Linked DNA regions of Elephas maximus indicus. The protein of the gene in region 1 binds, or shares a complex with, the protein of each later gene. Links are inferred from orthologs where the notes say so. Each region holds a gene or a part of one and is shown on either strand. Other genes may lie near its edges. The genes, in order: IRAK2 and IRAK4.

What was found.
Region 2: the proteins of IRAK2 (region 1) and IRAK4 are in contact, whole or in part, in a crystal structure (PDB 3MOP), measured with the Homo sapiens proteins. The link is inferred for Elephas maximus indicus from reciprocal best matches to the Homo sapiens genes IRAK2 and IRAK4. Residues at the interface, in NP_001561.3 of Homo sapiens: Tyr6, Ile36, Lys44, Met48, Glu59, Trp62, Trp63, Trp64, Gly65, Met66, Arg67, Gln68, Ala69, Gln73; in NP_001107654.1 of Homo sapiens: Asp24, Phe25, Pro28, Gln29, Lys34, Glu92, Phe93, Phe94, Ala95, Pro96, Ser98, Val105.

The regions. Positions count from the first base shown.
Region 1 is NC_064838.1:35,035,886-35,049,031, forward strand, and holds the start of IRAK2 (interleukin-1 receptor-associated kinase-like 2), read left to right. Parts: upstream 1-8,368; 5' UTR 8,369-9,062; coding exon 9,063-9,156; intron 9,157-13,146. UniProt on the Homo sapiens protein: Binds to the IL-1 type I receptor following IL-1 engagement, triggering intracellular signaling cascades leading to transcriptional up-regulation and mRNA stabilization.
Region 2 is NC_064822.1:98,439,671-98,452,189, reverse strand, and holds the start of IRAK4 (interleukin-1 receptor-associated kinase 4), read right to left. Parts: upstream 5,921-12,519; 5' UTR 5,832-5,920; intron 5,485-5,831; exon of another isoform or gene 5,361-5,484; intron 2,662-5,360; exon of another isoform or gene 2,351-2,661; intron 1-2,350. Other genes in the region: pseudouridylate synthase PUS7L, read left to right, coding at 9,384-10,296.

The DNA.
Region 1 (13,146 bases):
CGTAGCTGATGTTGACAGCCACAAAGTGGCACTCTAGTTCCTTATCTGTCCTTGATGACGTAGCCTAACCTCTTGGAAATGATTTACATCTGTGTAAAATGGGCAGAATAATATCTGTGTCATTGCTTGTGAGAAGAATTACATATGAAGATTTTATGCAAAGCACGTGGCATATTGTACCAGTTACTAGTTGCTATCCAGTTGATTTTGACTCGGTGACCTATGTGTGTCAGAGTAGAACTATGCTCCATGGGGTTTTTTTTTTTATTATTATTGTGAAAATATACACACCAAAATATTCACCAGTACAACAGCTTCTGTATGTACAATTCAGTGACTGTAAATTCAATTGATTACATTTTTCCATGGTGTGCCACCAATATTTCCAAAATATTCTACCACCGTTAACATAAACTCAGTATCCCCCAAACAAAAAATCTCCCTTTCCCTCTTGTCCCTGGTAACCATTAATCTTTGGTTTCTATATATTTGCTTATTTCATATAAATGAGATCATGCAGCATTTGTCCTTTTGTGACTGGCTTATCTCCCTCAGCATAGTATTTTCAGGGTTTATCCATGTTGTGGCATGCATCAGGACTTCATTTCTCTTTGCGGCTGGGTGATATTCCATTGCATGTATATACCATATTTTGTTTATCCATTCATTTATGGTTGGACATTTTGGTTGTTTCCATCTTTTGGCTATTGTAAAAAGTGCTGCATGAGCGTTTGTGTACAGGTCTCTGTTTGCACTCCTATTTTCACTTCTTCTGGGCATGTTCCTAGCATTGGAATTGCTGTGTCATATGGTAGTTCTATGTTCAACTTTTTTCCCAGTGGCTGCACCGTTTTACATTCCCACCAGCAATGGATAAGGTTTCCACTTTTCCACAACCTTGCTAACACCTGTTGGTTTTCTTTCTTTTTTTTATCATTGCCATTCTAATGGGGGTGAGGTGATATCTCAGTGTGGTTTTGATTTGCATCTCCCTGATGGCTAATGATGTTGCATATCTTTTCATGTGCTTTTTGGCCATTTGAATATCCTCTTTGTTGAACTATCTATCTGTTCAAGTCTTTTGCCCACTTCTTTTTTTAAATTGATTTTTTATTGTGCTTTAAGTGAAAGTTTACAAATCAAGTCAGTCTCTCATACAAAAATTTATATACACCTTAATATACACTCCTAATTGTTCTCCCCCTAATGAGACAGCACACTCCTTCCCTCCATTCTCTCTCCTCGTGTCCATTTGTGCAACTTCTGGCCCCCTCTGCTCTCTCATCTCCCCTCCAGACAGGGGATGCCAACATAGTCTCATGTGTCTACTTGACCCAAGAAGCTTCTTCTTCACCAGTATCATTTTCTATCCCATATTCCAGTCCAATCCCTGTCTGAAGAGTTGGCTTTGGGAATGGTTCCTGTCTTGGGCTAACAGAAGGTCTGGGGACCATGACCTCCGGGGTCCTTCTAGTCCCAGTCTGACCATAAAGTCTGGTGTTTTTACGAAAATTTGAGGTCTGCATCCCACTGCTCTCCTGCTCCCTCGAGGGTTCTCTGTTGTGTTGCCTGTCAGGGCAGTCATGGGTTGTAGCTGGGCACCATCTAGTTTTTCTGGTCTTAGGCTGATGTAGTCTCTGGTTTAGGTGGTTCTTTCTGTCTGTTAGGCTCATAATTACCTTGTGTCTTTGGTGTTCTTTGTTCTTCCTTGCTCCAGGTGGGTTGAGACCAACTGATGCACCTTAGATGGCTGCTTGCTAGTGTTTAAGACCCCAGACACCACTCTCCAAAGTGGGAAGCAGAATGTTTTCTTAATAGATTTTATTATGCCAGTTCACTTAGATGTCCCCTGAAACCATGGTCCCCAAACCCCCGCCCCTGCTACACCAGCCTCCGAAGCATTCAGTTTATTCAGGGAACTTCTTTGCTTTTGGTTTAGTCCAGTTGTATTGACCTCTTCTGTATTGTGTGTTGTCTTTCCCTTCACCTAAAATAAAACTTATTTACTATCTAATTAGTGAAAACCCCTCTCTCTCCCTCCCTCCCCACTCTCGTAACCATCAAAGAATATTTTCTTCTCTGTTTAAACTATTTCTCCAGTTCTTATAATAGTGGTCTTATATGGTATTTGTCCTTTTGCAACTGACTACTTTCACTCAGCATAATATCTTCCAGATTTCTCCATGTTATGAAATGTTTCATGGATTCATCATTGTTCTTTATCGATGCATAGTATTCCATTGTGCGAATATACTGTAATTTATTTATCCATTCATCCATTGATGGGCACCTTGGTTGCTTCCAACTTTTTGCTATTGTAAACAGTGCTGCAATGAACATGGGTGTGTATATATCTGTTCACGTAAAGGCTTTTATTTCTCTAGGATATATTCCAAGGAGTGGGATTGCTGGCTCATATGGTACTTCTATTTCTAGCTTTAAAAAAAAAAAAAAAAACAACTAAAAAAAGCTTTTTAAGGAAGCAACAAATTGATTTCCAAAGTGGTTGTTCCATTTTACATTCCCACCAGCAGTGTATAAGTGTTCCAGTCTCTCCACAACCTCTCCAACATTTATTATTTTGTGTTTTTTGGATTAATGCCAGCCTTACTGGAGTGAGATGAAATCTCATTGTAGTTTTGATTTGCATTTCTCTAATGGCTAATGATTGTGAGCATTTCCTTATGTATCTGTTAGCACCCTGAATGTCTTCTTTAGTGAAGAGCCTGTTCGTATCCTTTGCCCATTTTTTAATTAGGTTGTCTTTTTGTAGTTGAGTTTTTGCAGTATCATGTACATTTTAGAGATCAGGCGCTGAGTGGAAATGTCATAGGTAAAACCTTTTTACTGGTCTGTAGGTAGTCTTTTTACTCTTTTGGTGAAGTCTTTGGATGAGCATAGGTGTTTGATTTTTAGAAGCTTCCAGTTATCTGGTTTCTCTTCTACATTTTTAGAAATGTTTTGCATACTGTTTATGCCATGTATTAGGGCTCTTAGCATTGTCCCTATTTTTTCTTCCATGACCTTTATCATTTTAGATTTTATTAGGTCTTTGATCCATTTGGAGTTAGTTTTTGTGCACGGTGTGAGGCATGGGTCTTGTTTCATTTTTTTGTAGATGGATATCCAGTTATTCCAGCACCATTTGTTAAAAAGTCTGTCTTTTCCCCAATGAATTGACTTTGGGCCTTTGTCAGATATCAACTGCTCCTATGTGGATGGATTTATGTCTAGATTCTCAATTCTGTTCCGTTGATCTATGTATCTGTTGTTGTACCAGTACCAGGCTGTTTTGACTACTGTGGCGGTATAATGGGTTCTAAAATCAGGTGGAGTGAGGCCTCCTGGTTTCTTCTTCTTTTTCAGTAATGCTTTACTTATCCGGGGTCTCTTGCTTTTCCATATGAAGTTGGTGATTTGTTTCTCCATCTCATTAAAAAAATGTCATTGGGATTTGGATCAGAATTGCATTGTATCTATAGATGGCTTTTGGTAGAATAGATATTTTTACAATGTTAAACCTTCCTATCCATGAGCAAGATATGTTTTTCCACTTATGTAGGTCTCTTTTGGTTTCTTGCAGTAGTGTCTTGTGGTTTTCTTTGTATAGGTCTTTTACATCTCTGGTAAGGTTTATTTCTAAGTATTTTATCTTCTTAGGGCCTACTGTAAATGGTATTGATTTGGTGATTTCCTCCTCAGTGTTCTTTTTGTTGGTGTAGAGGAATCCAACTGATTTTTGTATGTTTATCTTGTATCTTGATACTCTACTGAACTCTTCTATTAGTTTCAGTAGCTTCCTTGAGGATTCTTAAGGGTTTTCTGTGTATAAGATCATGTCATCTGCAAATAGAGATACTTTTACTTCTTCCTTACCAATCTGGATGCCCTTTGTTTCTTTATCTAGCCTGAATGCTCTGGCTAGGACCTCCAGCACAATGTCGAGTAAGAGGTGATAAAGGGCATCCTTGTCTGGCTCCTGTTCTCAAGGCTTTGCCCACTTTTTGATTGGATTCTGTTTTTATTGTTAAGTTATAAAAGTTTTATATATATTTTGGATATTAGGCCCTTATCCAACATATGGTTCCTAAAATTTTCTCCCAAACTGTAGTTTGTCTGTTAACTTTGTTGATGAAGTCCTTTGACGTAGAAAAGCATTTCATTTTTATGAGGTCCCATTTATCTATTTTGACTTTTGTTGTTCAAAATTTGTTGTCTTATCTGATAATCTGTTGTTAAATACTAGATCCCTCCGTAGGGTTTTCAATGGCAGATTTTTGGAAGTAGATCACCAGCCCTTTCTTTGGAGGTGCCTGTGGGTGAACTTGAACTGCCAACCTTTCAGTTAGCAGTGGGGCGTGTTAACCATTTGCACCTCCCAGGGACTCCTTGGCACATTGTAGGTATAACTAAAGAGTTATTATAATAAAGAGGCAGTTTGTAGCCAGTGGTGATTAAGGGACCAGACTGCTATGTTCAAATCTCAGCTCTGCCACTTTGTTTCTATGTAATGTTAGGCTAATTACTTAACCTCTTTGTATCTCAGTGTGGTGCAGTGAATTACTTAATAGAGCCCTTCCAGCTATAGCCTTTGTGACTCCCACAGAATAATTAGGTGGGACTAGGCAAATAAAGTGTTTGCGGCCCACCAAGGGGATTGGACAGCCTGCTAACAATGCAAATAAGGTGCATGGAACCCCTGTGGGGGTGGGACCATGAAAATAAGGTGTATGGAACCCTAATGAGCGGATGGGTCTGTTTTGCCATCACCCTAAGCTTAAAAGACAGCCAATCCCAGAGCAGAGAGGGGTGGACATCACTACCATCAAGAAAGAAGACCCAGGAGTGGAGCGTGTCCTTTGGACCTGGGTACCTGCAATGAGAACCTCCAAGACCTAGGAAACAGAGCGAGATGTAACCTAGGAAAGAAAGAAGATGGTACAAGACGGTGAGAAGCAGTGGCAGAGAAATGGTGGCAGAAGAATCAGGAGACTGGCATAAGATGGTGCAGTGGGCTTCCTGGCCCACAGAACAAGGTGGCTACAGTGGGTGTACCAACCCACGGAGTGAGAGAGTTGAGTGCCTTCTGGCAGGCAGCTTGCTGGAAGAGCAGGGTATCTCTGAGCACTTACTGGCAGAGCTAAAAGAACTTTGTAACACTTGCCTGAGCAGGGCAGAGGCCAGGCTATGGACCAAGGGCTACAGGTGGAGGAACTGAGAGAGGGAGAAAGAGAGAGAGCCCTACCTATTGGCACAGCTGAGAAGCTGACCTAACTGAAGAACTGTATCCTGAGTCATTCCTGATCCTGAATTGTAACCTGTTACTTCCCTAATAAACCCCATAATTGTGAGTTTGTCTGTAAGCTCTGTGTGGCCATTGCAACGAATTATCGAACCCAGCAGAGAAGTAGAGAGTGGCATGGGAGGGATGACTGGTGAAAACGTTGGAGGGCGGAGGTATTGAGGCAGGCAGCCTCAGAGCCCAACTCTTCTTTGAATAACCTGCTCTGGCTTATCCTCCTACGCAGAGCAGAATAGTTCACACATTTTCCTGGAATTGTTCTTGTCAAAATAACCACAAAACGGGCCATAGCTGGCCTCAGCCCATTTTAGAAGGCCTTCAACACCATCTTGACATTTTAAGTGACCTATTTTGGTGTAGTGGTTAAGTGCTACAGCTGCTAACCAAAAGGCCGGCAGTTCAAATCTGTCAGGTGCTCCTTGGAAACTCTATGGGGCAGTTCTACTCTGTCCTATAGGGTCGCTATGAGTCGGAAGGAATCCACAGGGCAGTAGGTTTGGTTTGGTTTGGTATTAGCTCATTAAGAGCAAAATACATATAAGCCTCTGGATGGAGACTTAACACACCGGTGAGAGAAGGTTGACCTCTTCATCCCAGGAAGTTGAACCCCTGTCTAAAGAAAGTGCATAGCCATCTCCAAACATTGGGTGCCTGCATGAAGATCAATCCTGAATATTCATGATAAATTTACATTTCCTTGCCTGCTCTTTGTAAAAGCTCACCTCCCCAAGCTGCTTGTGAGCAGTCTTGGAGGCAGCAGCTCAGACTGTTCCTTTCCTTGCCAAGGAAATAAAAGCATCTTTGTGATCTCCCATATCAGCCTCTTGTTTATTGGCTGTGACAAGTCATGCCAAGCAACTTGGGTTTTCCCAACATTTCATTTGACTTCCACCTCATAGGAGTCAGCCGTGGGCTGATGTGGATCTGGATTCTCTTTCCTCCCCCTTGTGAAGTTAGAGGAGATTGGACGCACACGTGCCGTTTTTGCGGTCTCAGTTTTCTTATGTGTGGGATGGGGGTAATAACCACAACTACCTCACAGATTGTTGTGAGGAGTAAGTGAAATAAAAAAATAAGCCAGGTGAAATTTGGTGGTGATAAAAGCTCAAGTAATAAGTTCTGCTCCTCCTATCCTATTATTAAACTTGTCCTGCAATTCCCCTTTCCAAACTCTGCTTTCCCCCAATAATATTATCTTCTAAGATAATAATGCAATTAGCCTCGTACCTTTTACCATACTCTACTTTTGTTTGATTTACTTCTGAAAATCGGCCCAACAAAAACCCTATAGATCATAACAGTCTGATCTGATCTGAAACTGATCATGGGGATAGCACATGACTGGGTAGTGTTTGTTCTGTCGTGCATGAAGTTACTATGAGTCAGGGGCCAACCCTACAGCTGCTACCAACCACTTTTATTCTCTAACATTATCACCTTCCATATTGCTAAGTTATTTACTTATTTAGTATTTTTATGGCTTAATATCTGTCTCCCTCCACAAGGTAGTATGCTCCAGGAGGGCACGGATTTTGTCCTTTTCTTTCAGAGGAATCTCCAGCACCTAGAACAGTACTGGGCATGTAGTAGGTGGTCAATAAGTATTAACTATTATTGTTATAAAATCTACCCTGATACCCTATTTAATACAGAATAATTCTCCAACCCCGTTTGAACTTTGATTCTCCTTGACCAGCTTTTTCTTTTTCGCAATTGCACTTATATAGCCTTTTTAAAAAGAAAGCGATAGATGGTTATTCATTCAACAAATAGTTTTGGGGGTGCTTACTCTGTGGCACTGTTTTATCACTAGGGATACAGTAAGGTACAAAACTGACACAATTCCTCCCTTTATGGAGCTGACATTCCCATGGGGGACTTTTTTTTTTTTTCTGTGTACATAAAAAAATTTTTTTTTGTGGTAAAATATATATAACATAAAATTTTCCATTTTAACTATTTTTAAGCATATAATTCAGTGGCATTAATTACATTCACAGTGTTGTATAACCTTCAGCACTATTTCCAAAATTTTTCATCACCCTGATCAGAAACTCTGTACTCATTAAACAATAACTCCCTATTTCTCTCTCCCCCCTGGTCCCTGGTAACTTCTAACCTATTTTCCGTCTCTATGAATTTGCCTATTCTAAATATTTCATGTAAGCTGAATCATATAATATCTGTCTTTTTGTGTGGCTTATCTCACTCGGCAAAATATTTTTTTTTATAATTTGTTGAGAATATACACAACACACACAAATTTGACAGTTTCCACATGTACAGTTCAGTGGCACTGATCACATTCTTTGAGTTGTGCAACCATTCTTACCCTCCTTTTCTGAGTTGTTCCTCCCCAATTAACATGAACTCATTGCCCTCTAAGGTTCCTATCTAATCTTTTGAGTTACTGTTGTCAATTTAATGCCATATAGATAGCTCTTCAAAGAGCACAATGGTCAAGGCAGACATTCTTTACTAGTTAAGCTAGATTGTTATTTGGAGTCCTGGTGGCTCAGTGGTTAAGAACTATGACTACTAACCAAAAGGTCGGCAGTTCAAATCCACCAGTTGCTCCTAGGAAACCCTACAGGGCAGTTCTACTTTGTCCTGTAGGGTCACGATGGGACAGTTTTACTCTGTCCTGTAGGGTCATTATGAGTTGGAATTGATTCCATGGCAGCAGGTAGTAGTAGTCTTTGGTTTTAAGAAGGCTTCAGGGGATATTTTTGGTTTAAGGTTTAAAGATTACCTCAGGGCAATAATTTCAGGGGTTTATCTAGCATCTATGGCTCTAGAAAGTTTGGATTCCATGAGAATTTTAAATTCCGTTCTGCATTTTTCACTTTTGGTCAGGATTCTTCTATAGAGTTTTGATCAGAATGTTTAGTAGGCTCAGCATAATGTTTTCAAGGTTAACTTTTGCCGTAGCATGTATTAGAATTTAATTTCTCTTATGGCTGAATAATATTCCATTGTATGGATGAACTGCATTTTGTTTATCCATAAATTTGTTTATGGACACGGGTTATTTCCATCTCACTTATTACCTTTTAACACGCTATGTAATTAGTATTTTTATTACTAGTGTCCTCCCCCTCACACACACCTAGATTGTAAGTTCTGTGAAATCAAGGATTTTATAGGCTTTCTTTTTATGTATCCCAACATCTAGGACCCATAACCAGACCAAACCCATTGCCGTCCGGTCGATTCCCACTCATAGCGACCCTATAGGATAGAGTAGAACCGCCCCATAGTTTCCAAGGAGCGCCTGGTGGATTCAAACTGCCGACTTTTTGGTTAGCGGCCATAGCACTTGCCCACTATGCCACCAAGGTTTCCACATGTAAGACAGTGCCTGGCATATGGTAGGTACTCAATAAAATATTTGGTGAGTGAATTGTATGTGGTGTAGTGCAGGATGCACTGGAAACAGAGTCCGAAGGTCACCTGCAACTGCCACTGAAATCCCATGTGACCTTAAACACTCGAATTCTTAACCCCCTTTGGGTTTTTTTTTTTCCCTCCCAGTTCCGACCCACCTTGGATCGCCAGCTGCTCAGGGCAAGCAGGTGGGGTCGCGTCCTTCCCCTTGTGGCCGCTAGGGGGCAGTTGTGCCCCCGGCGCAGCCCCGCCCACTTCCCGGACCTCCAGCGGCTCCTGGAGAGAACTGCCCGCCCCTTGTAGAGAAACGGAGTGTGGCCGCGCCGGGTTCACTTGCTCGTCCGCCCGGCCGCCGGCAGGTTGCAGTCCCGCCATGTCCTGCTACATCTACCAGCTGCCCTCCTGGGTGCTGGACGACCTGTGCCGCAACATGGACACCCTCAGCGAGTGGGACTGGATGCAGTTCGGTGAGTGGGACCCAGGTGGGAGCGGTCCCCGTAGCATCCCTCCATGAGCCCCCTCGGGGGCTCTGGTCAAGTGGGTCCTGATCCGAGGGTTGTACGGGCTGAGGTTTCTGGAGCGGCCTCGCTGTGGGACCTAGGCAGACGCCTGTCCCCTCGCCGAACCTTACTTTGGTTATCCCGAAGGTGTTCTGTCATCTCTGAGGTCCGCTGGCGCTAAGATTTCTGTTGGCAGCTGCTCCCAGCTCTTTGTCTCTAAATAATGACCACCTCTACTTTGCTGTTCTTTGGACTGTAAAACTTAATCCCCTAAGAGTAGCTATTTACAATTACTGTGTGTCAGGCTCTGTTTTAGTCTTTACAGGTATTTTTAATCCGCTGCTCAGTGGCGCAGTGGGATTTGAACCCCGGAGATCTGGCTCCACCACGACACACTACTTTGTTTGTAACGCCTTGATTCCTCCTCCCCCTCTCCGTTGCTGTTTGGCTGAGAGGAATGATCAGGTGACCTTGGCATCTAGGGGGAGGCTTCGTGTGTGGTCCTCAGGTCCCTACGCAGAGATTTGCATTCCAGGTTCTGCCACCTACCAGCTGGTGGCTTTGAGCAAATTTCTTAACCTCTCTGAGCCTCAATTTCTTCATCTGTAAACCGGAGATGATAATTACGTTTTCTTCATAAAGTTGTGAGGAATAAAAATATTGCATAAAAAAGCACCTAAACAAATTCAGTGTTAGATATTCATATGAGTAATTAGGAAGTGTTACCTATTAAATCTTAGTTTTAAGTCAGTATAACTGGTACCATTTTTATTTTTTAAATACCATACCAAAAAAAACCAAACCCATTGCCGTTGAGTCCATTCTGACTCATAGCCATCCTACAGGACAGGTAGAACTGCCCCATAGGGTTCCCAAGGACTGCCCGGTGGATTTGAACTGCCAACTTTTTGGTTAGCTGTAATGTATATAAATTTTGTTTAAAATTTTTAATTATGAAATATACCATTCATACAAAAGAATATACAATAGATAGGTACAGTTGAAATAATACTACTGATTAAAATGAACATGTATGTGTTATCCATCTAGTTTGAGCAAGAAATATATATTTTAACCCAGTGGTTTTCATCTGGGGGTGATTTGCCCTCTAGAGGACATTTGCCAATGTTTAGAGACCTTTTTGGTTGTCACAAATTGAGTGAGTGGAGGCCAGGACTAGTAAACATCCTCCAATGCACAGGACAGCCCGCTACAACAAAGAATTATCCAGCCCAATGTGTCAGTAGTGCTGAGGTTGAGAAACCCTATTGTAACCCAATAACAAAAGTAATACATGCTTATTGCAAAATACTCTGGAGGAAAAATTCTACCACTCAGGGATAACCATTCTTAATATTTGGGTGCTAATAACTTTTTTTAATAACAGTAATAATAGCAGCTAATATTTATTGGCTTCTTAACTATGTGCCAGGCAAAATGCTAGGTATTGTATGCCTTCCTGCCTTTTTCCCTAAACATATCTATTTATGTGTGTGTATTTTTTAAAAAAAATTGTATCATTTTGTCCATTCTATCTCATAGCTTGCCTTTTTCGCTTAAAATATATTACAATTATTTTCCCTTGCCATTTGCCATTTCAACATTTTCACACGTATAATTCAGAGACATTAATTTTGTTCATCGCGTCGTGCAACTATTACCACTACATGTTTCAAAATTTTCTGTCACCTGTAACAGAAACTCAGTGCCCCCAGGCAATGACCCTTCCTCCAAAGCAATATTCTTTAACAACATGGACTTAGGTTATTTTCATTAACTATTTTTAATTGAAAAAGTAATATATGTGCTAGGTTAAATGATATAATGGGATGGAGAAGAAAGTAAGCCTCTTTTCCCTCCCTGGTCCTCAGCCTCCCAGATTCCCCTCCCTGGAGGCTGTCACTTTTTCCAGAGAGTCATGGCACATATGAGAATATATTTCCACCTGCTTTTCAAGACTGCACCGTGTTCCATTGTTTGGAGGATCTGTGACTTTAACCACTTGGAATGTTTCTTGGACAGTGGACAAGCTTTGTGGGTAGACCGCCCTCTAGTTTTTTCCATGTTGCCTTGCCCTCAATTGTGAATGCCAGAACAACTTGTTTCTAGGAAATTCGTTTAAAAGACCCACCTATAACTTTTTTTCAAAATAGCTTTATTGAGATAGAATTCACATATACAATTCACCCATTTAAAGTGTACAATTCAACTTTTTTTTAGTGTATTTACAGAGTTGTGCTTCCATTGCCACAGTCAGTTTTAGAACCTTTTCATTACCCCAAAATGAAACCCCATACTCCTTAGCCATCACCCCCAGCCCTCCATCCCCTCTTATTCCTAGGCAACCGCTGATCTACTTTCTGTCTCTATGGATTTGCCTATTCTAGAATCATACAATATGTGGCCTTTTGTCTCTGGCTTCTCTCACTTAGCATAATATTTTCAAGATTTGTCCATGTTGTAGCGTGTATCAGAACTTCATTCCTTTTTATGACTGTATGATATTCCATTGTATGGATCCGTCACATTTTGTTTATCTGTTCATCAGCTGATGGACATTTTGGTAATTTGTACTTTTTGGTTATTATGAATAATGCTGCTAAGAACATCCATGTACAAGTCTTTATGTGGATATAAGTTTTCATTTCTCTTGGGTGTGTAGCCTAGGAGTGGAATTGCTGAGTCACATGGTGACTCTAACATTTTGAGGAGCTGCCAGACTGTTTTCCAAACCAGCTGCACCATTTTACATCCTTGTTAGCAGTACATGAGGTTTCCAGTTTCTCTACATCCTCACTAACAGGTGTACCTCCTGTCCTTCCACGCCCCCTGTTACTCACCTTGCACTTGCCACACTGGCCTCTTTGTTCTAGACTCCAGGTCTTTGTACTTGCTGCTTCCTCTCCCTCTTCCCTGTGTATTTCACATGGCTGATTAGTCTGCATTAGTTCGCTATTGCTGCTGTAACAAATTACCACAGCTTCAGTGGCCTAACACCATGCATATTTATTGTCTTACTGTTCCAGAGGTCAGGGATTAGAAATTGGTCTCACTGGGCTGAATTCAAGGTGTCGGCAGGGCTGTGTCCCTTGTGGAGGCTCTAGGGGAAAATCTGCTTCTTTGTCATCTCCACCTTCTAGAGGTCTCCTGTTTTTCTTGGCTCGTGGCTCATTCCTCCATCTTAAAATCAACAGTGTAGCATTTTGAAATCTCACTTGCTTTTTGACCTCTGCTTCTGTCATCACATCTCTGACTCTGACCTTCTGCCTCCCTCATATAAGGACCCTTGTGATGACATTGGGCCCACCGGAAAATCCGGGATCATCTCCCCATCTCAAGATCCTTAATTTAATCACCTCTGCAAAGCCCCTTTGCCATGTAAGCTAACATATTCACAGGTTTTGGGGTTTAGAATGTGGACATCTCTGGGGGCTATGATTCTGCTGACTGCATAGTTCTTCAGCTCTGGGCTCGTGTCATCTCTTTCACAAGGCTGTCCTTGCCCTTCTGCTACTCTCTGTTGGGTTTTATTTCCTTCATTCCACTTAACATGCTTTGGTATTACCTTGTTTGTTATTTGTTTACGTCTGTCTCTCCCCATAGAAAGAAGACCTGGTGGTGCAAGTGGTTAAGCGCTTGGCTAAGTGAAAGTGTGGCTATTTGAACCCGCCAGCCGCTCTGTGGAGAAAGATGGGGCAGTCTGTTTCCGTAAAGATGTACAGCCTTGGAAACCCTGTGGGGGCAGCTCTGCTCTGCCCTGAAGGGTCGCTATGAGTCAGAATCAACTCTGTGGCAATGCGTTTGGTTTGGTCTCTCTTCGTAGAATGTAAACACCCTAGGGCAGGGGCCTCACCTGGCTCATTCATGCCTGTATTCCTAGAGCCTAGGACAGCACCTGGCAAGGGGGCCGGTGGTCAGTGACCATCTGAATGAAGGCTGAGCTTAAGGACATAGGAT
Region 2 (12,519 bases), on another chromosome or scaffold:
CTCAGCGTAGGAACCCCATGAACAAATGACTTGCTCTGCTCCTGGCACTGCTTTCTCAATGGTATGAGGTCCCCATGTCTCTCTGCTGGATTCTCTCTTTTATATCTCAAAAGAGGTTGGTTTAAGACACAACCTAATCTTGCATGGTGAGTCCTGCCTCATTAACATAACTGCCTCTAATCCTGTCTCATTAACATCATTGTTGTTGTTGCTAGGTGCCACTGAGAATTTACAAGACAAAGTAAAACCACATCAGATGACAAAATGGCGGACAATCACAGAATACTGGGAATCGTGGCCTAGCCAAAAGCCAGAAAAACCAAACCCGCTCCCACTGAGTAGATTCCAACTCATAGCGATCCTATAGGACAGTGTGGAACTGTCCCAGAGGGATTCCAAGGAGCGGCTGGTGAAGTCGAACTGCCAACCTTTTGGATAGCTGCCAAATGCTTAACCACTGCGCTACCAGGGATTCACAGCCTAGCCAAGGTGACACGAATTTTTGGGGAACACAATTCAATCCATGACAAATTCACTAGCCAATACCATGCCACCTGATTTGTATACAATATTTCATATAATCCTCACAGTGATTAAGGTAGTGACATTGTTTTATAGTTTTGCAACTCTCTTTAATGTCTAACTTAATAGAAGATAGCCAGATTCTCGTATCTGCTTCTACATTCAATCTGCCGCAATGTATCATTTTGATTGATGTATACGGACAATCTAGCTTTATACAGACGTATAATTGAAAAAGAGTGGAGGATTTTAACAGTCTTTTCAGAAAGTAGTGTACATTATTCTTTGATTCTACACTAAAACTTGAAAAGTGATAATTTCTTAAAGGTCAGCTGCAATGTGGATCTGAACCATACCAATGAATTTTTTTTTACATTAAAATCTACTACACTCTTAATGTATCTTTTACCTATACATGATTTTGATCTAAGAATCTCCTGAGTCTCAAGAGACTCTGCTGATGTAAGGGCTTGTTTTAAGACTTACACTAGTTTAAGATACAAAAGGGATAGTGTATTAAGTGCAGGTGGAGAGTTCAGACTTGAATAAAACAACAACAAAAAAAAACCCATTGCCGTTGTGTCCATTCTGACTCATAGCTACAGAATGAGGCCTATTCCTGAAATCAGAAAGAGGGAAACAGGTTTGGATACAGAGATCTGAGAAGGGAGAGGGAGAGTTCTTACACAATACTATTTTCTCCATGAAGCAGGAGTTGAAGTCATCCATGGTTAGGTAAAAAAACTGCCCAAGCACCTTGAGGGCCACCTGGTAAATGGCTCCTATTCCTTTGAGCCCACATCAAAAGGCATTATTGGATTTCCCTGATAGTCATACATTTTGCTCCAAATGTCATCTGGAAATCCTTCTATTATAACAAGTACTATATTTTATTGCTTATGCATATGCCTTCTCTAATAGACTGTGTGCTCTCCTGGGCAGGGACTTAACCATATTCACTGTAGCAACTACTCAAAACATTTGTATTGAATGAGAGAAAGACTGAATATGTTTTATTAAGAAATTGTATGTGCTTACAGATTCTGCAGTTGTCTTATTCAAGTTATTTTTTCTTACTTGTAGATTTCTTTCCACAGTAAGAAGTATAAAGTTGATTGACACAGTTAATAAACATTGAACCGTTTAATAATCCTAGAAGCTAGAACTAAAATACAGGGAATTGAGAATAAAAACTGGCTACTGTAAGACCATGGGGCAGTGGTGGTTCAGTGGTAGAACTTCCATGTGGGAGACCTGGGTTCAATTCCCAGCCAAAGCACCTCATGCCATCACCCATCTGTCAGTGGAGGTTTGAGTGTTGCAAAGATGCTGAACAGGTTTCAGTGGAGCTTCCAGGCTATAATGGACTAGGAAGAAAGGCATGGCAATGTACTTCTGAAAAATAGCCAATGAAAACCCAGTGGATAACAATAGTCAGATTGCTAGAATCCAGCCCATGCAACCTCTCCCACCACAGGGAGGCACAGGACTCGTCAGCATTTCATCCCATTGTACGTGGGGTCACTATGAGTCGGGGGCTGACTCGATGGCAGCTAACAACCACAACATCGTGAGGCCAGAAGAATAAATTCTATACCTCTTCTGCAGCCAGATTTCTAGGAGAGGTGATAGTGGAGGCCTTTTGACCACTCTTCTACAAATATATGCCCAGAAGTTCTAAATCTCAGAATTTAAAATGTACTTCAGGCATACATTTATACACCACTCCCAACCAGGTATTTTTAAGAACATACACCGAAGTATTAGCAGGGGTTATCTCTTGATGGGAAACCTGACAGTGTAGTGGTTAAGAGCTATAGATACTAACCAAAAGGTCAGCAGTTCAAATTCACCAGATGATCCTTGGAAACCAGACTGGGCAGTTCTACTCCGTCCTATAGGGTCACTATGAGTCGGAATCGATTTGACGGCAACAGTTTATCTCCTAATGAGGTCCCTGGGTGGTGCAAACAGTTTGCACTCAACTACTAACTAAAAAGTTGGCAATTCGATCCCACCTAGAGGTGCCACTGAAGAAAGATCTGATGATCTGCTTCCTTTAAGACTGCAGCCAAGATAACCCTATGGAGCAGTTCTACTCTGTAACACACAGGCTCGCTATTGAGTCAAGACCAACTCAACAGCGATAGATTTGTTTGTTTTTTAAATCTCTTGATGGTAATTTTAATGGGTGGTTTCATTTGTTTTCATTTTGCTGGCCTGGATTTTCAACAATGAAAATAGATTATTTGAGCAAACATCTTAATTATTTAAAATACATCACCTCTTCAGAAATTGTTCAAGGTTTCACATTACCGCACTCTTGGGATTTATAGAGGTGGAACAGGAAATACTGCTTACAAACAAATAAGTAAATACAGAAATAACTCTGTGACTATTTCGTTATATCATTAATTCTCATAGTATAGAAAAATCATTCATATTTTCAACTAAGACAACTCAGACAAGCGCACATGGTGATGTGGCAATTGAGGAATATACTAAAATCAGCATCTGCTTCTACAACCCAGGGGGCTCTCATTAAATGAATTAATAAAGTTTTATGACTATGCTTCATTACTACTCGATCAGAAGGCCGGAGTGTAGAGGGGAGGAGAGAAGATGGACTTCGAGGGTGCGTGAGTTTGGGTTCTAATCTCAGCTCTTCCACAAACCAACTGTGACCAGGGTTAATAACTCAAATTTCTCCAGACCCTGGTTTCTTTAGCTGAAAAACAGAGATAGTAATATTTAACTCAAGAGTTGCCATAAGATTTAAGATCAACAAATGAAAAAGACCTAAACATAGCATACAATAGATGATCAAAAAAATACATATATTAAAAAAAAATTTGTTGACGTTGGGTTGATTCCGACTTGTAGCAACCTTATAGGACAGAGTAGAAGTGCCTCGTGGGGCTTCTTTCAAGGCTGTAAATCTTTACAGAAGCGGACTGCCACATGTTTCTCCTGCAGAGTGGCTGGTGGGTTCGAATTACCAACCTTTTGGTTAACAGCCAAGCACTTAACCACTGCTCCACCAGATATCTTTAAAAAAGGAAAATATCAGTACTTTTAAGACATGTATAACCTTTCTAAAACACATTCTTTACTTCCATGCCTTTGTAAGCAAAATATACCAGATAAATAACCTTTATTTTCAGACAACTGAACGCATCATTATGAACAAAAGCTGGTGATGCCTTCCGGACCTATTAAATTATACAGGGCTGTCCTTAAACATATATTCATAAATTATAACACATCTTTCTCGAACATGATCTAACTCAACGGTAAATGCTTTAAAACACTCTGGGTATATTAAACGTAAAATATCATTCATTCATTAAATATTTACTGTTTTGTGCCAGACATTGTTCCAGGCCCCAGAGATTAATAGGCAAGTCAGATCAAAAATACCTGAACTTGTGGAGCTTATATTCTAATTGCAGAAGACAGACAAAAAACAAATAATATCTAAAATACATTTATGGGCGTAGCGGAGTTCAGTGGTAGAATTCTCCCTCCCACACAGGAAATCTGGGTACAATTCCTGCAATGCTCCTCAAGCCCAGCCACCATCTGTTTGTCAGTGGCTGTTTGCGTGCTGCTATGATGCTGAATAGGTTTCAGCAGAGCTTCCAGACTAAGAGGGACTAGGAAGAAACGACCATCTCCTCTGTAAATGAGCCAATGAAAACTCTGTGGATCACAACAGTCTGGTCCGTTGTGCACAGGGTCGACAAGAGTCGGGGGCTGACTTGAGGACAGCTAACAATGGCAACAATAATATGTTTGATGGTACCAAGGGCAGTGGAAAAAAATAAACAGAGACCAGACTGTAATTTTAAATAAGGTGGTCAGAGTAGGCCTCAATAAGAAGGTGCCATTTGATCAATGGTTTGGAGGAAGCAAGAAAGCCAGCCTGTGAGATATCTGTGAGAAAAGTGTCCTGGGCAAAAGGAATAATAAATGCAAAGGCCCAAGTGGGCCCTTTGAGAAACAGCAAGAAGACAATAAGACTGAAGGGGAGGGAGCAAGAGGGTAGCAGATGTGGTTAGTAAGGTAAGGGGACCAGGTACCCAGATCTCATTTTTATTGACTTTGGTTTATCCTCTGAGTGAGATGAGAAGACAGATGAGGTTTTGAGAAGAAGCAAGACATCCACTATAATCATGTCTTAAAAGACACTGGGGCTGCTGCTGAAATTAAGTTATATTGGATTAAAGGCAGAGGAGCAGGGAGAGATCAATTCAACTACACCAACAATCCAGGTGGGAGATGCTGGAGGTTGGGCTAGGGTAGTAGAAGAGAAGGCACAAGTCCTTGGAGGATGAGTCTATTCTGAGGTAGAGCCAAAGAATCCTATGTGCTGATGTGGAGGGTGAGAGGACAGTACCAAGGTTTTTGGCCTGAACAACAGCTTCCTGCCATTTACTGAGATGGAGAAGAGACTAGAAGGTCTAAGTTTTGCCTGGAAGATCAGGAGCTCTGTTTAGACAGGTGGAAAGCAAAATCAAACGTTTACCATCAAAAAAGGAGAATAAAACAATTTCTAACTTTCTGTCAGTCTTCTTCAAGGATTATCCCTTTTTTTTTTTTTATCCCTAGAGAGGGGAAAAGCAGAATTTAATATCCTCTACTGTTTTTTTTTTTTTTACTGTTAGGGACTCCTTGGGCACTGGGCATATAGCATTTTGAGGCACTAATAGCGCTATTCTCATTCCAAATTGGCTGATGTGCTTGCTAGCTTTTTCAACGTTTGTTTTTTATCCCTTTGTCTCCTCTCTTGCTTCCACGCCGTCAGGTACACTTTTCGTATGTGATAATGTACTTACCTGTTTCTTACAACTCTTCACTCTCTAATGTCCTGGAAGCTTAGAAACTGGAGGAAACAAGCTAATCAGAATCGTGTGGAGCCTCTGAATGCCTCCCATCTCGGCCGCGTGCTGAGCTTACTTCCTGGTTTTTAGGAGACAAGATTTCATTTTGTAAACGGGTTCAGGGAACAAAAAGCCACAGAGTTGAGAAAGTTGAGGCGAGATTAGACGGCGCCACTGAACAGCTGGGTGACGGCTCTCTCGATGCCTCAGCTTCCTCCCAGTCAGACTAACTTGTGGATCTCCAGGGACTCACTCCAAATCTCGACGCCGGAGGTGATTCATGCAACCACTTCCTCTCTAAACTTTTCTCACTTTGAATATAAGGCATAAAGCGATCTGCAGCCCGAAACAGCCACCCTACTAAGCCTGGAGCAGAGGAGGACAACCTCCGGGTAGCAGGAAGAGCGGACAGCGGCAATCCCTTACCTGCCCGGGGCGTGGGGCACTGCGCGGGGGCGGGGCGCCTCGCGGCGAAGCCAGCGGCGGAGCAACCCGAGCAGCGGGAAGCAGCGAAGCGAGGACAGCACTTCCCGTCAGGCCCCGCCCCGGGCTCCGCCTGCTCCAGGCCCCGCTTCTTCCTCTCTGCGCCGTCAGGCCGCTCCACGAAGAACGTTTGGTTAAGGCGCTTCTTCACGTGGGAGCCTGCCCCTTTAAATACTCTCCCGGAGGACGGTAAATAGATGAGGCTTCCGGGCATGCGCACAGGGTTGTGCGGGGACTTACCTTCGCCTGGATGCGAGGTAGACCGGGTGTTGCGCGTTGCTTCTTCCACGGTGTGGGGATTGTGTTTGGGACGATGATAAAGCTTGTATTGGTTATCCCGATCCTTTGCCCCCCAGACGAAGGCGACGTGGGGCAGTGACACACCGAGGGGTGGGGACGGTTGAAGAAGCAAGTGGAGCTACTGGTAAAAAAAAAAAAAAAAAAAGTGTGTTAATACCTCAGGGAAGAGTGAGACGGCGACACAGGCTTTAGTTCTGCTTCTCTGGGAACCCGTTCGGCAGATATTGCACAGTTGGAAAGGAAGAGCATGGGGAAAAGGGAGCTCTCTCTCTCATTTCTACTACTTTTTCAGGATCCCTCCTCAAACTAGTAGTTCTCCAACTTTGGCTAAACCAAACTAAATCCACCTCTACACCCCAAATCCTCATCTGCAAACCCTGTTGCTTAGGAGTCTTGCACATTTATACTTAACTCCACGTGGGCTCCTTGGCTGCCCTCCAGTTCGGTTCCAAACCCTTTTTAAGGTTTTCCAAACTCTCACCTCCAAACCTGTCTCACATTTCTGCCACACTTCGGTTTCTGCATTTGTCCGCTCTTGTCCCAAGATGCTCGCTTGGTTGGTATTCCCTTGTTGTTGCCTTCCCACCCCTCCCGCCCTCCACCTTGCTCTACTTACCCCTCTAGTTTAAAATGTCTTCATAGGGAAAGAGATCATTGTTTCCACGGCCAGTTTCTGCAGCTCTACTCTTGATCACATCGCTGTTTCATCAGATGCATACTGATCAGTACCATCAGAGTCATTTTACTAAATCATCTTTTGGATTATGTCGTTCTAAGACATCTGCAGTTGCCATCTATTGGTCACCCAGTGGATTCTAAGTCCTTGGCAGGGCATTAGGTGTCTTCCATAGTCTGACGCTAATCTAGCTGTATTTTCCAGAACTGTACTAGAAAAGCCCCCCCCCCCCAATCTGGGATGTTTATTTTTCTCTAACACATTGCATCTTTTGTACATTATTTGATGATATTCTCTCTGCCTCATTTCTATATCTCGAACCCTTTTTAGGCCACACTTACTTAGATGACCACTTCTTGTGTTATACCTTTCCTTATTATCACAGGCAAAAGTGAGCCATTCTTTCCTCCTCTTTACTCTTACAGCTCATATTTTGTACTAGTGGCGTCATTCAACAGTCAATATGTTGAATTGTGTGCCTAATATGTGCTTGACACTGTTCTAAATGTGGGGTAATCAGTGATAAATAAGACAGACATCACAGAACTAACATTTTATTGAAACAATGTAAATGACAAAGAAAATATTAAATAAAAAAGCTATAAAGACAGTTAAAATAAGGCTTCGTGAAGAGAGTGTGCTAGTTTCTTTAGATTACTCGTCAGGGAAGACCCCTCTGAGGATCTGATTACTAAAAGGTGCAGCTATATAATTGGAGAAGGGACAATTTCAGCTGCAGAAACAGTTAGTTTAAAGGAACTGAAGAAGGCCAGTATAGCTGGAGTGTAATGGATAATGGGGAAAGGGTACAAGATGCTTTTGGAGAATAGACAGGGTCCAGAATCATAGTCTTTGAAAACCAGGGTAGGGAATTTGTATTTTATTAATACATGTGAATGGAGTGTTTTAAGCAGGGTTCTGATATGATTTAATTTACCTTTAAAAGTACCATTCTGGCTGTTTTGTGGAGCATGGACTAGAGTGAGTCAGTAGTAGAAGCAGTGATTAGAGACCTTCACAATGTCTAAGATTTTCCGGAAGGGACGTATTAAGTAGGGCTGATGGAAAGATAGCAGGGGTGATCAGAGAACTAGATACTTAAAGTGCAAGTTTTGTAGGTTGCAGTTTATGGAAATGAGAAGGTGTGACCACGGAAGGGGGTGACAGATGAAATTGACTTGGGAGATTGAGGAACTGAGGGACAATGATATTGAATGAAAGATGGATGTGGATGATCATGGAAGTCGTGCTGGATGTGAAGATAGTAAGCCAGGTGTTAAAGTCATCAGTGAATGAAGAGTAGTCCTCGGGATTAGAGTGAAGATGACAGCAGATGGTAAAGCCTGATGGCATGAACTTCAGAGGCACTGGGAAGTTTGAAAGTAGAGGAGGAAGAAATAGTTTGGAAGGAGCAGTGGGAAATGGAAAATATTTATGACCTCCAGACCTAAGGCACGTGGCGTGTGAAAGGAAAAATAGCCTTTGCTTGAGAGGACTGCAGAAGTAGTAGTCTGGGGAAACAGCCGGGTTTCAATTAGAGCAAGACACTGAAGGGGATGCAGGAATTAAGGAATTAAGTAAATATCCTTGTATATTCCCTGGGAAATTAGGATATAGAAAATTTGCTGTAATTTCTACATGGCACAATGGAAAGAATTGAGAAGAGGAGGCTGGTAAATTGTTTCGGATTAGTAGAATATGTTGTATAAATGGGGGTGAAGGCCCTGATGATGATAAATTTCCTAGAATGTGTGGGTTTGTGATGATCTGACTGGTATGGGGTCTCTGGGAAACTGACCTTTATCATAGCTCCATGTGGTATGGTAGCCGTGGGTTGTTTGATGAGTGAGTAGTCTTCCTCAGAGGACTATTCTTTTGTGTACTGCTCCCACAAAGCTCTATAAGGGTCTCCTTTTCTCTGATGGCAAAGATAATGATGGTTGGAAATCTCCTTGGGATCAACTTCAAAAGTTCGTGTCTGTCCTAATGGGGGCTTTAGAGAAGGCTTAAGGCCCGGGACTAAATTAAGTCCTATTTCTTTCTATCTTCTTCTTGTCTCCTGTCCCTGCACCCTTAGCATATGAAACTCTAGTCCTAAGTTCTCTGAAATTAATGAAATTTTCAACTCTACGGATGGGGTTTGGACAAATCATTGTAAACAGTCCTATGTTCTAGTCTATTTTTTGTGGTCCTACAAATACTATTTGTAAGGTAAGCTTGAAACTGACCCATTTAAAATCCAGGTAATAGATGGAAGTCTGGGGTAGATGAAGAGTCAAGTTTTAAGTTATATTAGAAAATGTTTGCCTATTCATTCATCTTGGTGTATGAGAGTCAAAGAACACATGGTATATATTCATGAATTAATAATTCTATTTAAGAGAACTCAGGATTGAAAGGGACAAAGAGAATTAAATAAATCCAGCAAACCTGTTCCTTTTTTTGTTTTGTTTTCCACAACTTCTCTTTCTGGTAACTGACTGCCTCTTTGTTTCTTTTGTAGACATTATTATGTAAGAATGGAAGAGGATACAGATTATAGAAACAGGTTCAGTTCTTTGTGTTATATTACTGATCATGCTGGATTTCGTGGCACTATAAAAAGCTCACCAAGGGACTTCGTTGTTACTGAGATTGATGAGCGGGGACAGTTAGTTAATAAAGCCAGTGATGAACCTCTGTACGAGATTAATAACATACTACCTGAGCCAAATAATTATGCCAAAAAACCAAAACTAGACCTTCACAATTTATCCTTTGAAGGTGGGCGTAACCAAGAACTTGGTACTTTAGCTAGGTGTTCCGATGGTGACCAAAATCATCAGTCTAGTTCAGAAAATGAAGATATGATCAATAATGGAGCTTCCAAATGTGAAGAAGAAAAAGCTGATATATTAGGCTCCTTATTAGATGAAAAAACTAATGAATTACTGAATCAGTTTGCTTGTGATGTAAAAGAGACGTGGAATTCTAAAATTGAGCTAGTGGGACCATCTCCTGAATTCTCGTTAGGCAGAATCCTTGACAAAAACCAGCGGGCCAGTTTACATAGTGCTGTTCGGCAGAAATTTCCTTATTTAATAACTGTAGGAAAAAACAGCGAAATTGTTGTAAAACCAAATCTTGAGTATAAAGAACTCTGTCACTTGGTGTCTGATGAAGAAGCATTTGACTTTTTTAAGTATTTGGATGCAAAGAAAGAAAATTCCAAATTTACCTTTAAACCGGATGCAAACAAAGACCACAGAAAAGCTGTCCATCATTTTGTCAACAAGAAGTTTGGAAGCCTCGTGGAAACCAAATCCTTTTCAGAACTGAATCACAGTGCTGATAATCCAAATGTAGTGATAACAGTAAAGTTTCGGGAAAAAGCACACAAGCACAGGAAAAGGTCTCATCTTGAATGCCAGGAAAGAAAAGTCATATATACAGGTAATTTAATAAATCATTGTTTTCTTGGATAAGCTTAAAATTGTATGAAAGTTGAATAATTTTAAATGAATTGAACAGACCTGGCCAAAGGGATATTTGAAAATAATATGAGTCTGTCTTTTAATGGAAGATAAAATCTTTCATATTATACTAAGTGTAAAAAATAGCCTTACTGATGAAAGTATGGTTAAAAAAGAGAGGTATGGTTAACACAGTTACAAATATACAGTATAAAGTTGAAGTAGTTTTTTATATCTAATAAGCTTTTTTGGAGGTAAATCTTAATTTCATATTTTGAAAGTCATCTTAAATAAAAATAAGTGTTTAGAAATAAACAGAACATGTATGCTATGCTTGGAAAAGTAGAGCGAATATCTTGTAATCCATAACAATTAAACTTCCCTGCCTAAGGAAAGGCATGAACCTGAAAGCTTTTACAGAGTACTCCTTGATTTGGTTGGGTCAGTCTTTTAGAGAAAAAATTCTCAAAGCTTAGTCATTATAGTCATCCAAAGAGCTTGTTAAAACACAAATTTCTGAGCCCTGTTCCCAGAAGGTTTGGGGTGGCGCTTTAACAAATTCCAGGTGACACTTTTGCTGATGTGGGGACCACATTTTGGGAACTGTTGTTTTAGGGGATATATATTCAACTTCTAGGGTGGAATAGTAACTGGTGAAATCTCACTCTACAAGTCTGGCTGATCAGATTTAATTGGCTTATATCCTACTTGAAGGATGGGAAATGTTTACTGTAGGGCTGGGGCAGCTCACCTCTGTCACATGGGGTCTCTGTAACTGGAAATCTCATTGATGGCACCTAACAACAACAGCAACTATGTAATTGCAATTTTAGCATGATTATTCTGTGGTCTGTCCTGAATGCCCTTGCTATTTAATTAGGCCTCTCCTCTCTGGCTGGTCCCCAGCCCTATATAACACCTAATAACCTCGGGCAGGTTACAGGTGCACGGTAGTTCTTTATCTGGCTTGGTAGGGTGTGGCAGCTAGCATCCAAATGGGCCTCAATGATCCTTGACTCCTGGTACTCATACACTTTGTATTCCCTACCCAGATTGAATCAGGGCCAGCCTGTGTTACCAGTAGAATATGGCAGACAGTGTGTGACTTCTGAGGCTAGGTTACAAAAGGCATTTGATATCAGTCCTCCAATGGAAGCAAGACACTAAACCTTGAAAATACTCAAGAACCCTGTGGTGAGAAACTGAGGCCTCCCACCAACAGTCAGCACCAACTTCCAAGCCATCTTGGGAGTACACCTTCTAGTTTCAGCTGATATTTATTGCAGCCTCACAGTAGTCCTCAGGCCAGAATTGCCCAACTCCTGAATCCCTTACCCACAGAAACTGTGTGGGATAGCAAATGATTATTGTTATTTTAGGCCTTTAAGGTTTAGGATGATTTATTGTACAGCATTAGGTAACTAATAGAGATTTTGGTACCAAAAGTAGATTGAAGCTGTAACAAAAGCCTAAAACCTGTGGTTGCAGTGCCTTTGGGACTAGTTGGTGGACAGAATTTTGCAGGGACCTCAAAGAAGCTGTTAATGAGGGTTTAAAGAAAAGTGAGGAAAATATTACTGAAATAGATGAAAGGGATCGTTGTTATATAGTGGCATAAAATTTATGGAAAGTAGAAAATTCATCTAATAAGGAGGTGCTCAACATCCAGACCAACTATTGATGTTGCCACCTAGCTTCTTACTACTTAGTTGAAATTCTAAAAGAAAAACTGTTAGATACAAAAGAGCCAGGACTTGCTGGGTTTGAAAATACTTTTTTTTTTTTTTAATTCCCAGCCTCTCTAGATGGCACATGATACTTATATTAAGAATGGCTTGTAGGCTAAGAGATTATCCATGGTAAGGACAACATGGTCTAATGAGGAGATCTAGGATGTGATTGTAAAATCCTTTGTAAAATTTCAGAAGGATCTATTACAGTGCTTCAGAGAATGGTTTATACAGACAAAACGTTCTCTAGGGATGACTCACAGATCTGGTATGTTAACTAGTAGTTCTTCTAAGAATCTTAGGGACATTTTCCCTCAGCAGAAGCCCCAGTAGGTGTCTTATGTTGACAGAATTTCTGAGTATATCTTTTGTCTGATGGAGTGAACTCATAGAACATTCAGACAGTTTTTGAGAGCAGCAAAGATGGTACAAACAGGGTTGGGCCTCCAAACTTTTAAAGGTAGGAATTCGGC